Pelodiscus sinensis: one gene and its partner. The protein of the gene in region 1 interacts with the protein of each later gene in a pairwise test. Links are inferred from orthologs where the notes say so. Each region holds a gene or a part of one and is shown in the gene's direction. Other genes may lie near its edges.

What was found.
Region 2: the proteins of RPP30 (region 1) and RPP14 interact in binary tests that used the Homo sapiens proteins (3 or more experiments, as listed by UniProt). The link is inferred for Pelodiscus sinensis from reciprocal best matches to the Homo sapiens genes RPP30 and RPP14.

Annotation. Positions count from the first base shown.
Region 1 is NC_134718.1:40,357,552-40,364,582, forward strand, and holds the start of RPP30 (ribonuclease P protein subunit p30), read left to right. Parts: upstream 1-3,998; 5' UTR 3,999-4,074; coding exon 4,075-4,156; intron 4,157-5,549; exon of another isoform or gene 5,550-5,826; coding exon of another isoform or gene 5,827-5,866; intron 5,867-6,002; exon of another isoform or gene 6,003-6,108; coding exon of another isoform or gene 6,109-6,160; intron 6,161-7,031. UniProt on the Homo sapiens protein: Component of ribonuclease P, a ribonucleoprotein complex that generates mature tRNA molecules by cleaving their 5'-ends. Also a component of the MRP ribonuclease complex, which cleaves pre-rRNA sequences.
Region 2 is NC_134721.1:380,390-387,295, forward strand, and holds the start of RPP14 (ribonuclease P protein subunit p14), read left to right. Parts: upstream 1-3,834; 5' UTR 3,835-4,334; coding exon 4,335-4,432; intron 4,433-6,129; coding exon 6,130-6,214; intron 6,215-6,807; coding exon 6,808-6,884; intron 6,885-6,906. UniProt on the Homo sapiens protein: Component of ribonuclease P, a ribonucleoprotein complex that generates mature tRNA molecules by cleaving their 5'-ends.

The DNA of each region.
Region 1 (7,031 bases):
CGCATGACTGAAGCGCTGTCATGGAAAGGTGTAGACTGTTCAGGAAGAACAGGCAGGGGGGAGAAGGAGTTGCACTATACGTAAGAGAGCACTATGATTGCTCTGAACTCCAGTATACTGAGGGAGAAAAACCTGATGAGAGTCTACAGGTTAAGTTTAGAGGTACAAACAACAGCAGTGATGTTGTGGTTGGTGTCTGCTACAGGCCACCGAATCAGGTGGATGAGGTAGATGTGGCTTTCTTCGAACACATTAAAGACTAAGGGTACATCTATACCAGCTTCCAGATTGCAGGCCCTGGTTCTTGTGGGGGACTTTAATCACCCTGACATCTGTTGGGAAACCAATACGGCAGTACACAGGCAAACCAGGACGTTTTGGGAGAATGTTGGGGATAACTTCTTGGTACAAGTGCTGAAGGATCCGACCAGCAGCCATGTGCAGCTTGACCTGCTCACAAACAGGGAGGAACTAATAGGGGAAGTAGAGGTGGGTGACAACATGGGAAGCAGTTATCATGAGATGGTAGATTTCAGGATCCTGACCAAAGGAAGAAAAGAGAGTAGTAAAATACACACTTTGGACTTCAGAAAAGCAGATTTTGACTCCCTCAGAGACCTGATGGGTAGAATCCCCTGGGATGCTAACATAAAGGGGAAAGGAGTCCAGGACAGCTGGCAGTATTTTAAAGAAGCCTTATTGAAGGCACAGCAAAAAACCATCCCGATGCATAGCAAGAGAGGCAAACATGGTATGAGACTGGATTGGCTTACAGGGGAAATCCTTGGTGAACTTAAGCACAAAAAGGGAGCTTTCAAAAAGTGGAAACTTGGACAAATGACCAGGGACCAGGGTTTAAATGTACAGCTCGAGAATGCCGGGGGGTTATCAGGAAAGCAAAAATGCAAATGGAATTGCGACTGGCAGAGGATGTGAAGGATAATAAGAAAGGTTTCTACAGGCATGTTAGCAAGAAGAAGGTGATCAGATAGGGCGTGGGGCCCCTACTGGATGGAGTAACCTAGTGACAGATGATGTGGGGAAAGCTGAAGTACTCAATGCTTTCTTTGCCTCTGTATTCACGGACAAGATTGGTTCCCAGACTAATGCGCTAAATGACACAAGATGGGATGAAGAACAACAGCCCTTGGTGGATAAAGAACAGATAAGGAACTATTTAGAAAAGCTAAATGTACACAAATCCATGGGTCCAGACTTAATGCATCCGAGGGTGCTGAGGGAGTTGGCAAATGTCATTGAGGAGCCTCTGGCCATTATCTTTGAAAAGTCATGGAGATCAGGAGAGATCCCAGATGACTGGAAAAAGGCAAATGTAGTGCCCATCTTCAAAAAAGGGAAGAAGGACAATCCAGGGAACTATAGCATGGTCACCCTTACCTGGTTCCTGGAAAAATCATGGAAGGGATCCTTAAGGAATCCATTTTGAGGCACTTGGAAGAGAGGAAAGTGATTAGGAATAGTCAGCATGGATTCACAAAGGGCAAGTCGTGCCTGACCAATCTGATTAGCTTCTATGGTGAGGTAACTGGCTATGTGGACATGGGAAAGTCAGTGGATGTGATATACCTTGACTTTAGCAAGGCTTTTGATACAGTCTCCCACAATATTCTTGCCAGCAAGTTAAGGGTATATGGATTGGATAAATGGACTATAAGATGGATAGAAAGCTGGCTAGAAGGCCGGGCCCAGCGGGTAGTGATCAACGGGTCAATGTCAGGATGGTGGTCGGTTTCTAGCGGAGTGCCCCAAGGTTCAGTTCTAGGACCGGTTTTGATCAATATCTTTATTAATGACCTGGATGAGGGGAAAGATTGCACCCTCAGCAATTTTGCAGATGACAGTAAGCTAGGGGGAGAGGTAGATACTCTTGAGGGCAGAGATAAGGTCCAGAGTGACTTAGACAAATTGGAGGATTGGGCCACAAGAAATCTGAAGAGGTTCAACAAGGACAAGTGCAGAATCCTGCACTTGGGACGGAAGAATCCCAAGCATTGTTACAGGCTGGGGATCAACCAGCTAAGTAGTAGTTCTGCAGAAAAGGACCTGGGGGTTACAGTGAATGAGAAGCTGGATATGAGTCAATAGTGTGCCCTTGTAGACTAATGGCCTAGTAGGTTGCATTAAGAGGAGCATTGCCAGCAGATCCAGAGATGTCATTATTCCCCTTTATTCGGCTCTGGTGAGGCCACATGTGGAGTATTGTGTCCAGTTCTGGGCCCCCCACTACAAAAAGGATGTGGACGCATTAGAGAGGGTCCAGCAGAGGGCAACCAAAATGATTAGGGGGTTGGAGCATATGACCTATGAGGAAAGGCTGACAGAGTTGGGTCTGTTTAGTCTGGAGAAGTGAAGAGTGAGGGGGGATTTGATAGCAGCCTTCAACTTCCTGAAGGGAGCTTCCAAAGAGGATGGAGAGAGGCTGTTCTCAGTGGTGACAGATGGCAGAACAAGGAGCAATGGTCTCAAGTTGGGGTGGGAGAGGTCCAGGTTGGATATTAGGAAAAACTATTTCACTAGGAGAGTTGTGAAACACTGGAATGGGTTACCTAGGGAAGTAGTGGAGTCTCCATCTCTAGAGGTGTTTAAGTCTTGAGTTGACAAAGCCCTGGCTGGGTTGATTTAGTTGTGAAACACTGGAATGGGTTACCTAGGGAAGTAGTGGAGTCTCCATCTCTAGAGGTGTTTAAGTCTTGAGTTGTCAAAGCCCTGGCTGGGTTGATTTAGTTGGGATTGGTCCTGCCTAGAACAGGGGGCTGGACTTGATGACCTTCTGAGATCTCTTCCAGTTCTATGATTCTATGATATTTATTTGGGCATAAGCTTTTGTGGGTAAAAACCACTTTGACAGATGCATCCTGATATTTTCTGTCAATTTGAATGCTAGTTTGAGGGTGAGGTTCACTAACAGTGGTTAAAATGTATTAATAGAATATGTAAAACCTATATAGTTATTTATAAACAACAGATTACATTTTAAACGTAATCTGTCAGAAAATGCTGTATCTTAAAAACAATTATCCCCTTTTGTTGACATTTTCAATGTTCTGATGATGCCTCAAATAATTTCATTGGTAATAATTCAGTTGAATAATATAGCTGCTCCATCTAGTGGCTACAATGTTGCTCTCTCCCGGAAATAAAGACCTCACCTTGTTTCAACATTGTTTCTGAAAAGGATTCCACCTCTACAACATTTTTACATATATATGGAGCTACAATGTAGCTAAGAGCCATGTCATTTGTTAGGGGGCTTTCAGGGGGCTATCAGGGTTCAGAAAATCTGGGATTCACTTTTCTGGGCTTCTTTGCAATGTGTCTCTGCAGCTGAGGGTAGCAGCACCACTAGCTCAGGGATCCATGTAGGGCAGGAAGCAGGAATAACGTAGCCTATACACCACAAACACACACACTCTCACATCCCGGGCTCCACGCGATGCTGCCACTTTGAAACACCATGGGGACCATGGGGACCTGGCTCTCTCTCTCTCTCTCTCTCTCTCTCTCTATATATATATACACACACACACACACACACACACTCTCTCTCTCTCTCTCTCTCTCTCTCTCTCTCTCATATCCCGGGCTCCACGCGATGCTGCCACTTTGAAACACCATGGGGACCTGGCTCCAGGTTTCAAGCAGCGGCTGCCGCTTGGAAGTACCCCCTCCACTTCCCCCCTCCCTTTCTGCCTCTTTCTGATGGGAGACAGCAATGGGGGAAGTGACTAGTTGACTAGCTTGTGGTGTATCCCATAAGCATTTGCTTATGGGATAGTCGACGAGTCCTTCACATCCCTAGGCAGGGGCCATGCTGCGAGGCTGCGAACCCCAGGCCCAGGCTGGCTGCCCCGGGGCGTGCGAGCACAGGGAACCTGCCCCTGGGCGCAGCTGGGAAGGCTGGGTTGCACGGGCCCGCACGCACCGCCCGTCCGCCACAGCAGCGCGGGAGGCTGGGGGTGCAAACTACAACCCCCAGCATGCCTTGGGCGCAGCCTACGTGGAGGTGCCAGCGCCGCCCTGCCGCTGAGGCTGCTGGCACCACGTGGTGGCAGCATGGCCGTGTTTGCGGATCTGAACGTCCCGCGCGCGCCGGACCTCAAGTCGCTGCAGAATTTGCTGGAGGCCGCCGCGCACCGTGAGTACCACCCCCTCCCCCCCAGGCGCCGGCCAGGTCCGCGCGGCTCTCCCAGCCTGCCGGGCGCTGCGGGCTCGGGGCGAGTCGCCCATTGGCTGCTGCCCGTGCAAGAGCCGGGGTGGGCGCTATCCAGCGGTAGCTCGCGTGCAGGGGTCCCCCCATTGCCGGCCTGTCTTGGGGCGGAGAGCGCTGCTCCCCGCCCCGTTGGTAACCCCTGGCTCTTGGGCAGGCAGCAGCAGCCTGAGTGTTGTGCAGCACAGAAGTGAGAAGACAGATCCAGTTCTCATGGGGAGCTGGCTCTCTATGGGCCCCCACCCTCCATGCTGTCTCTGATACAGAGGAAGCAAGGTGGGAAGGAAATGTGCGTGGTCAGCAGGATCAACTGAGAAGCCTAGACTTATCGGTTAATCTGTAGTCGTCTACACATTGGCATCTTTAATTGGCATCACTTCATTCATTAAGTTAACATCTCTCATGTGGGACTGGAAAGCAGGGGTGGAAGTAACTTAAAATTTCTTACAGGTACTGTCCCGTCCCTGCCAGCTCTTTAAATAGCTCCCAGCTGGCTTTTGCCACAGCTTAGCCTTCTCTTGCTGAAGAGCTGTGCATCAGGGTGTACCTGCTTACTTTTACCTCTGCTGGAAAGATAGCCTGGCTAATTGTTAAGTATCAGAGGGGTAGCCGTGTTAGTCTGAATCTGCAAAAGCGACGAGGAGTCCTGTGGCACCTTATAGACTAACTGAAGTGTAGGAGCATAAGCTTTCGTGGGCAAAGACCCACTGCATCTGACGAAGTGGGTCTTTGCCCACGAAAGCTTATGCTCCTACACTTCAGTTAGTCTATAAGGTGCCACAGGACTCCTCGTCGCTTTGGCTAATTGTTGTGATAGTTCCAATGAATAAGCCGGTTTAAGCGTATCCTTTCTGTCATGGTAGATGTGCACTATTTCTAGTAAAACCTCTCTGTCCTGCCCAGCTTGGGACTTTTTTGTTATGTAGCTTTCTCAGCACAGGCTGGAGCCCTAACTCTGAAGCCAGCAAGGTGGAGAGTCTCACTGGATTTTGGGCTGGAGCTAGAGTCTGAATGTTTATATTACTATTTTTAGCTCTGCAGCAGGAGCCTGCGTTAGTTGACCTGTGCGCTGATTGTATAACTACACCACAGTTTTAAGTCCAGCTGGTCTGTGCCAGTTGACTCTCACCTTAGGGTAAAGGGCTGTTTATATTTGTGATCTAGACATTCAGGCTTACGCTGGATTTAGGGAAGTAGGAGATTAATGGGTTAACTGATAAGATGAGATTTATCAGTTTCTGTTAATGGTTTAACAATGCCTAGGATCCCACCTACCAGCTGTGTGCCTGAAGCTCCTCCTAGCTGCCAGTCTGGTGCCCAGGGTTCTGCTGCTGCCATGCCTGGGGTGCTACGGTTACTTGCTTTCCTGGCTGCTGCACCTGGCATCGTAGAACCCCAGGTTCCTGTGGGCTGCCAGCCCCTCTGGTCTATGAACCCCACAGCTGGGCTCTGGCCTGACGGCTGGGGTCTGTCAATCATCCGCTGCTGCGGCCTGGGATGCTGGCTACTGGCTCTGTACCTGTGATTCTGCTGCCACTTGGCATCCTGGCGTTGCCAGCAGCTGGGGGGCGAGCAGCTGGGACCCCTTGCACACCAGGATGCCTACTGAGGGCAGAGCCTTAGATGTGGGGCCATCAGGTAAGACCCTGGTGACAGGTGCTCCTCCGGTAGCCTTCCATAGCCTTGTGTGTCAGAGTAAACGTTTGACTGGGAACTGATAGAATTTTGGTTGGTTACACTGTTTTTGTTTTTGTGTATGATTTTATATCCCCAGGTTGAATCCTAGGACCCTGTAGGGTAGAAGGGTGCCAGAGCTCAGGCAGCTTGAACCCAAATGTCTATACTGCAACTAAACAACTTTGTCTGAGCCCCACAAGTCCATGGCCATGTCTACATTAGTACTTACATCAGTAAACCTTTTGTCACTCAGAGGTATGAAAATAACACCCCTGTGAATGGCTAAGTTTTGCCAGCATAAGTGCTCATATCCACAGTGCTGTGTTGGTGAGAGACACTCTCCAGCTGACATAGTTCAGAGAGCAGCAGTAGTTGGTTTTATGATATCAACAGAAGACCTCTATCCTGTCAACATAATACAGCTACATGAACACTCTTACAGCAGCACAGCTATGTAAGTGTAGACATGGCCTAAGTCAGCTGGCACAGGCAAGCTGTGGGTTTCTAATTGTAGCATAGATATACCCCAAGACTCTTTGCAGTGGGATGCTTTTGTATGTGTTTGGGGTCTTTTTTTCCCCTGAGAAGAGACATATCCTGAGGCACTAGTACTAGAAGCTCTTGTGTATGTGCTCTAACATTATGGTGCAAGTCGTCTTACTGACTTCCATGGGACTACTGTGTGTGTTCTTACAATTCAGCATCTGCATAATTGTTTGCAGGACAGCAGCCATAAGTCAGTGGCACAGCCATGGGCATGTGCATGGCACCACAATATGCCAACATCTTTATGGCTGACCTTGAACAGCGTTTCCTCTGTTCTCGCCCCCATCACCCTTACTTTACTTACGCGACATCAATGACATCTTCATCACATGGATCCATGGGAAAGAGACCCTGGAAGAATTTCACAAGGATTTCAACAACTTCCACCCAACCATCAATCTCAGCCTGGATCAGTCCACACGAGAAATCCACTTTCTTGACACTACAGTACAATTAAATGATGGACAAATTTCCACCATCCTATACGGGAAACCTACTAACTGCTACACTTACCTTCATGCATCTAACTTTCATCTCAGACACATTTCTCAATCTATTGTATACAGCCAAGCGCTAAGAT
Region 2 (6,906 bases), on another chromosome or scaffold:
CTGCACCATTCTGTATAGAAGGATCTGTATCAGGCTGAGTCTATATTGATGTTTTCTAGTAACGGCAGATTGCATCATGCTTTGAGATGATGGACTGGTTTGTAAGGAATCCCACTGATCAAACTGTGCCACAATGTTATAGCCCTGACACAGTTATATAGTTGCTCTTCTTACTGCCTCCATTCCTAGCACAATGTGTTTTCTCTATTTTAGAATAAGTTTTGAAAGGCCAAAAAAGCAGCAGGAACTGGAATTTCATTCATGCTTCTGAAGTTTAACACCAAAGACAGTCAGTAGTTTTTTTTAATTGTAGAACTTTAAAAAATAATTGTCAGGCCTTCATGCTGGTAACTGAGACATTAGGATTCAAAAGTAGACTTAGACTCCCAAGCCAGTCCAGGTAACCCAGACACAAGCTGGTCTCCAAACCCATCTGAGTGTTTTTGTTGTTGTGGGGTGGGTTGGTTTGTTTTGTGGTTTTTTTGCCGGGGGGGGGTTGTTTTTTGGGTTTTTTTTTTTTGTTGGCACAGGTTAAGCTGTCACGTGAACTAAAGAAGATCTCTCTGAATAAATATCCTCAGCCAGTTTTGGTCCTTCCTATTTGAACACTTCCTCAGATGGCCCTCCCTTGTATCCACTGGAGTGTAGCATTTTTGGCTATACAACTTTGTCCTCTGAATATAAGGCTCTGTGCCTCAGAATATGCAAACCTTGTAAAACTGAACTGAATCTCCTAGCCAAAAGGAAGCAAGGTCTCTGGGTACCTTTGTTAAGGTTTAAAGGAAACTCTGCATGGAATGATTTTAATAGGTATAGAAGGCAGGAGAAGGAGATTGAGACAGGAGTAGATGGAGGGAACATGAGGCCATGGACTCAGAAAGCTAAAGGTCCCACGCAGGGAGAATAAGTTATAAAATGTTACTAATCTCTCTGCTCCCTGCACACAGTAGAGTGGCATTATCACACACAGCATGTCACCCCCAATGTCTGATGGGACATTGTGGTATTATGCAAGTGATCAACTTAATTATTTGAGCAGAGAGTATGAACCTTTAAGGGCAGGTGGTGAGGGGATCATCAGCTTAAAGGGCATCATTTGGGATTTGTGTGGCTGGTCTGGTTTGTTTTCACCAAAGTGCTTTGTAGTTTTTTGGGGACAGTAAGATAGAGAGAAGTGACCCATGGAATGTAACTAGCACCTTTGGCTAGCCATCTAGAGCATAAATAAAGGACAAAAAGTGCTTGAAAGTAGTGAGAGAGAACAGACTTTGAGACATTGGCTAATAGTGATTTGGCTGCATCGCCACATCCCTGTCTTTCTGCAGCCACTGTTGACTTTTTAATCACTTTGTTTTAACGTCTCTAATAGATGTGAGTTTCTCTCTTGGTATTGCTCTGTCTTCAGTAAATCTGCCATGGATTCTCAGCATTTGGTAGTGGAGAGAGCACTAGTTTAATAAAAGAACTCAGCAGCAAAGTGGGTAAGAGGATGGTGTACCTGAGATTTAGAGAAATATCTGTCGTATTTCCGATTCTCTGCTTGTGATTGTTGTGAAGTCAATGAGAGGAGCTTTCAGTGGTCAAGTGTCCTGGCATACGGCATTTCTGTTTAACGTCAAAGCACAGGTTTCACAATGTACAAAAAAAGCTGTCTCTTAACAAAACAGAAACAAAGTGCAGTATTGCAGAGAAGAAAAAGAAAACCCCCTTTGAATGTCACATTCTCTTTTCTTTTCAGTTAGCTGATGTTGGGACTCTAGATCTTAACATGTATTTGTAAACCAGTCTTGCCAAAATACAAATGTTTTGGGTTTTTTCACTTCAGTTACCTTTTGTTCTTATTATAATTACTTCTTTTCAGTTGCTTCAACCATATGCTTTATTTCCAGAGGCCTTCCTTGTAGTTTCTCTCTTTACAGGCTATAGTGTTACATCAGTATTTAAAGATGCAAAAGAAAGCCACTAAGCTCATAAGAGAATTACTGAAATCCACTTAGCCTGGCTGGAGCTAAAGATGTGCTACCAATGTTTTCCTCCACTCAGAAAAAATTAAATTCTGCATAAAGATGCTACCTCAAGGCTCCAAGTGCTTAAAGGTCTTTCGCCCAGGAGAGTTCCATAAATCAGTTCTGCAAATTGGTCTGTTGTATAGAATTAAATGTATTTTATCGATTCATTGGGAGGCCCATATTTTAACTCATTTTACCACTAGAATTTGATTCTTAAAGGATGAATGATTGCATAGATTGATTCTTGCACTATAATTTTGACAGTGGAAAAATAATACCTGCCATATAAGCTTATGGTTTTAAAAAATATACCATTCTGGGGTTCAGCTTCACTTTTGGTTAATAAAATGCTGACATGTCGTGTCCAGCCTTCCTGGTACAATCCTCTGTGTGTGTTTTAACTTACTCCAGATGAGCATTTATGGATCTAGTGACAAAGGAGCAAGCTAAATTACTAGTATGACTGCTGGAGGTACTGTGGTAAAGTTAGTATTGTCAGTGGTCTGCTGAAAATGGTTTTGTCGTCTTGACACAGTAAAACCAGTTATAAAATTCCCCAACCACAGAATTTTACTATTTGGTGAGAGGACCCAATTGAAGCATTAAGATTACACCTTTGTGCATATTCTTGCTATGGATAAAACCAGCTCCCTGCTATTGTTGCTACAATACATAGTAAAATGGTGCAATTGGCTTTCTGACATCATTTGAGCACTGCTGGTGTATCAAGAACAGTGCAGAACACAGATTCGTAAAACAAAACTAGTCTTAGGGTGAGATCATTTCTAAAGTTACCTGCCCTGCATTTGTGGCTGACATGTGAAAGTCAGCTGGTGTGCCCCAGTGAGGAGCACCAGGAAGAGCATGGTGGGCTGCAGGCAGGGTTTCGGATGCTGCGGGTCTTTTAGAGGTTATAAATGAGAAAGCTAAGCCAGAGAGGGCAGGCACTACAAATGCAATAGGCCCAGTGATGCAAATATTACTCTCATTATAATTCCCATTATCATTAGGCTGTCTATATGATCTATTATCTGAACTTCCCTGTAAAGGAGGCACTTCCTATCCAATCAATATAGAGCTCTGCTGTGACCTATTTTCACAGAGGCCGCCGCCTTCTAAAAGCACTTCTGATTTTTTTTTTCTGCTGTATTTACCACCTATCTCAGGCCTTCCCAACAGCCTGAAGCTGATGTGCAGGCACTGCTGGCCATCTAGAAAGAGGAGTGTCTGCCAGTCTCGCAACAGGAATATGTGCTATTGGGAAGAAGTGAGTTGTGCCCACAAAAGCTCGTAATACTATCCACGTTTTGATAGTCTTTAAGGTGCTGTATGACACCTGGTTGTTTTTTACATTTTTGTGATGTTAGAGTCTGCTGGGTGATATTGGCAGTGCTAAAGTATGGAGAAACGGTCAATGGTACCAGACTGCTACCATGCACAGAACCTAACCTTTGTTACTGTATGGGATGGGATCCTTCACAATCAGAGACTGAGCCACAGCCCAGAGCTGGCTTTGTGTCAATGTAGGATGAAAGTCATGGAGCTTAATGCTCGCAGTGTTCAAGTTGCCTGTGGTTTGACACAGCTGCTGATGCTGATTCACTTGAGTCAGCAGCGGGTCAATGCTGTAGCCCGAACCTGCGTTAGATCAGTCCTGTCAATGGGCTCCGTGGTGCGGGGTAACCCCTCCCCCCCCCTCGTGCTCCCGGGCGTTCCCTCAGCGCCCAGCCCTGCACTGTGACAAGGGAGAAGTCAGGTTACTCACTCAAGTCATGCGGCCTGGCTGCGCAACGCAGGGCCCCCCCCTCACCCGCTGGGATCGTGCAGCCTCCATCAGGCTCCGCTAAGAAAAGACCCAGCCCCCGGCTGTACCAGTAACGGCGGTTCCCCTGCGCCGGGCTACGGGCTCTCGCCGCCGGGCAAGCCGCTAACGGCCCCGCTGCCATCCGGGAGGAGCATGTCCGCGGCCCCTCTAGTCACCCGAGCGCCGGGAGGCCGGGCCCTAGCCCCGGGCTGGGCCCCACTCGCGCAGGCTGAGGCGAAGTGACCGCGCAGCGAGGGGCAAACTGCGAGCTAGGCCCGGGCCCCCGCGCGCCACGTCCCCATGGCAACGCGAGCTTGGGGCAGGGAGCCCCGCACTTTCATCTGTGGAGCATCGCGCACGCGCACTTCCGGAGCCGCTGCCCAGCGCGCGCCGTTGGCCTGGAAAAGGAGGAGCTGCTCGCTGATTGGCTGGGCCGCGCCTGTTCGAGTGCGGCGCGTGCCCGTGACGCTCCCTCCCCCCCAGCGCTGCGCTCGCGGGCCGGCGGGGGAGCTGGGCACGAGATGGCGGGGGCGGGGGAGGGGCGCGGGCCCCAGCCTGCCGCCTTCGAGCGGATCGTGCTGCGCAGCGCGTCGCCGCACCACTACCTGCGGGTCCGCCTGTAAGTACCGCCCACGGGCCGCGCCCACCTGCCAAAGGCTACGAAGACAGCCGGGCGGCGCTGGGCCCCGCGGGCAGCGGGGGGGAGGGAGAGGCCGGCGCTAGGGCCCCGCGGGCAGCGGGGGGGGGGGGGGAGGGAGAGGCCGGCGCTAGGGCCCCGCGGGCAGCGGGGGGGGGGAGGGAGAGGCCGGCGCTAGGGCCCCGCGGGCAGCGGGGGGGGGGAGGGAGAGGTCGGCGCTAGGGCCCCGCGGGCAGCGGGGGGGGGGGGGAGGGAGAGGCCGGCGCTAGGGCCCCGCGGGCAGCGGGGGGGGGGGGGGAGGGAGAGGCCGGCGCTAGGGCCCCGCGGGCAGCGGGGGGAAGGGAGAGGTCGGCGCTAGGGCCCCGCGGGCAGCGGGGGGGGGAGGGAGAGGTCGGCGCTAGGGCCCCGCGGGCAGCGGGGGGGGGGAGGGAGAGGTCGGCGCTAGGGCCCCGCGGGCAGCGGGGGGGGGGGGGAGGGAGAGGCCGGCGCTAGGGCCCCGCGGGCAGCGGGGGGGGGGGGGGAGGGAGAGGCCGGCGCTAGGGCCCCGCGGGCAGCGGGGGGAAGGGAGAGGTCGGCGCTAGGGCCCCGCGGGCAGCGGGGGGGGGAGGGAGAGGTCGGCGCTAGGGCCCCGCGGGCAGCGGGGGGGGAGGGAGAGGCCGGCGCTAGGGCCCCGCGGGCAGCGGGGGGGGAGGGAGAGGCCGGCGCTAGGGCCCCGCGGGCAGCGGGGGGGGGGGGGAGGGAGAGGCCGGCGCTAGGGCCCCGCGGGCAGCGGGGGGGGGAGGGAGAGGCCGGCGCTAGGGCCCCGCGGGCAGCGGGGGGGGAGGGAGAGGCCGGCGCTAGGGCCCCGCGGGCAGCGGGGGGGGGGAGGGAGAGGCCGGCGCTAGGGCCCCGCGGGCAGCGGGGGGGGGAGGGAGAGGTCGGCGCTAGGGCCCCGCGGGCAGCGGGGGGGGGAGGGAGAGGCCGGCGCTAGGGCCCCGCGGGCAGCGGGGGGGGGGGAGGGAGAGGCCGGCGCTAGGGCCCCGCGGGCAGCGAGGGGGGAGGGAGAGGCCGGCGCTAGGGCCCCGCGGGCAGCGGGGGGGGAGGGAGAGGCCGGCGCTAGGGCCCCGCGGGCAGCGGGGGGGGGAGGGAGAGGCCGGCGCTAGGGCCCCGCGGGCAGCGGGGGGGGGAGGGAGAGGCCGGCGCTAGGGCCCCGCGGGCAGCGGGGGGGGGAGGGAGAGGTCGGCGCTAGGGCCCCGCGGGCAGCGGGGGGGGAGGGAGAGGCCGGCGCTAGGGCCCCGCGGGCAGCGGTGGGGGAGGGAGAGGTCGGCGCTAGGGCCCCGCGGGCGCCGGCCGCTTCCGCACCTGCAGGAAATCGAAAGAGCGCGAAGCGCCTAGCGGGGCTTCAGGCTGCGCATGCGCAGAGCGTAGCTGTAGCACAGGCCCCGTCTGCGACTACAATCCGCTTCGCTGCCAAGTCGGTCCGAGGCGCCGCCCATTGGGCCGCAGCGTCAGTAGCCCGCCCTTCCGAGAAACCGCAGCTGGCGATTGGCCAGCGGGCGCGTCCGTCTGGCGGCGGAACGGAGCCCCAATGGCGGGGGTCGGACGGTGTTTTAGCGGACTCCGAGACACGTGACACGCCCGGTCACGTGGCTGGCGCGCGTTTTCCGTAGCCCGTGGTAACGCCCCGCGCTGCTTTGCAGGGACGGCCCCGAGAGCGGAGTCGCGCTGAGCGCCGCGCCCTTCAAGCAGCTCGTCCTGTCGGCGCTGCGGGAGCTGCACGGCGAGGTGAGGCCCCGCCCTTCGGGCTGCTCCCGGCAGTGCGCACACAGGCCTGGGCTTCCTTTCGGCGAGTCACCGGGCTCAGGCAATGCCAGCCGCTCTCGGGGGGCCTGGCCGTCTGCGGCTCACCACACGGGGGCCTGCAGCACCTTGGGACTGACGACAAATGCAGGTGATACGATGCATTTCGTGGGTGCCCACAGCCGCTCATGATACTCGCTACATTTGTTGTTAGTTTCCAAGGTGCTGCAGGACTAGTTGTTGTTTCTTAATTTTAGCAGGAGACGCAGGCAAGCAGAAAATATAGCTCATTGGACTGGGGCTTGGGGTCCTAGGATTTATTCTTGGTCTCGCCACTGATTTGCTGGTGCAGCAAGTCATATCCCCTTATTGCTTGAGTTTTGCCGGCTATAAAATTGTGATAATGATGCTTTGTAAAGTGCTTTGAGATCTTTGAATGAAAAGGGCTCTATAAAAGCTGGACATTACAATGTTGTTCTAATAATTTCTGTTGGAGAACCTGGAACTCAGACATTCATAAACTGATGTAAAAGCAGTGACTAAGGCTCATTTAACAGTAGTGCCCTGTTTGTGCATAGGTTGGTGCAGCCTTGCCTGTTGATGTCTTAACATATGAGGAAAAGACCTTCTCTGCAATACTAAGAGTTCCTAGCAGGTAAGACACTGATTGCATATCC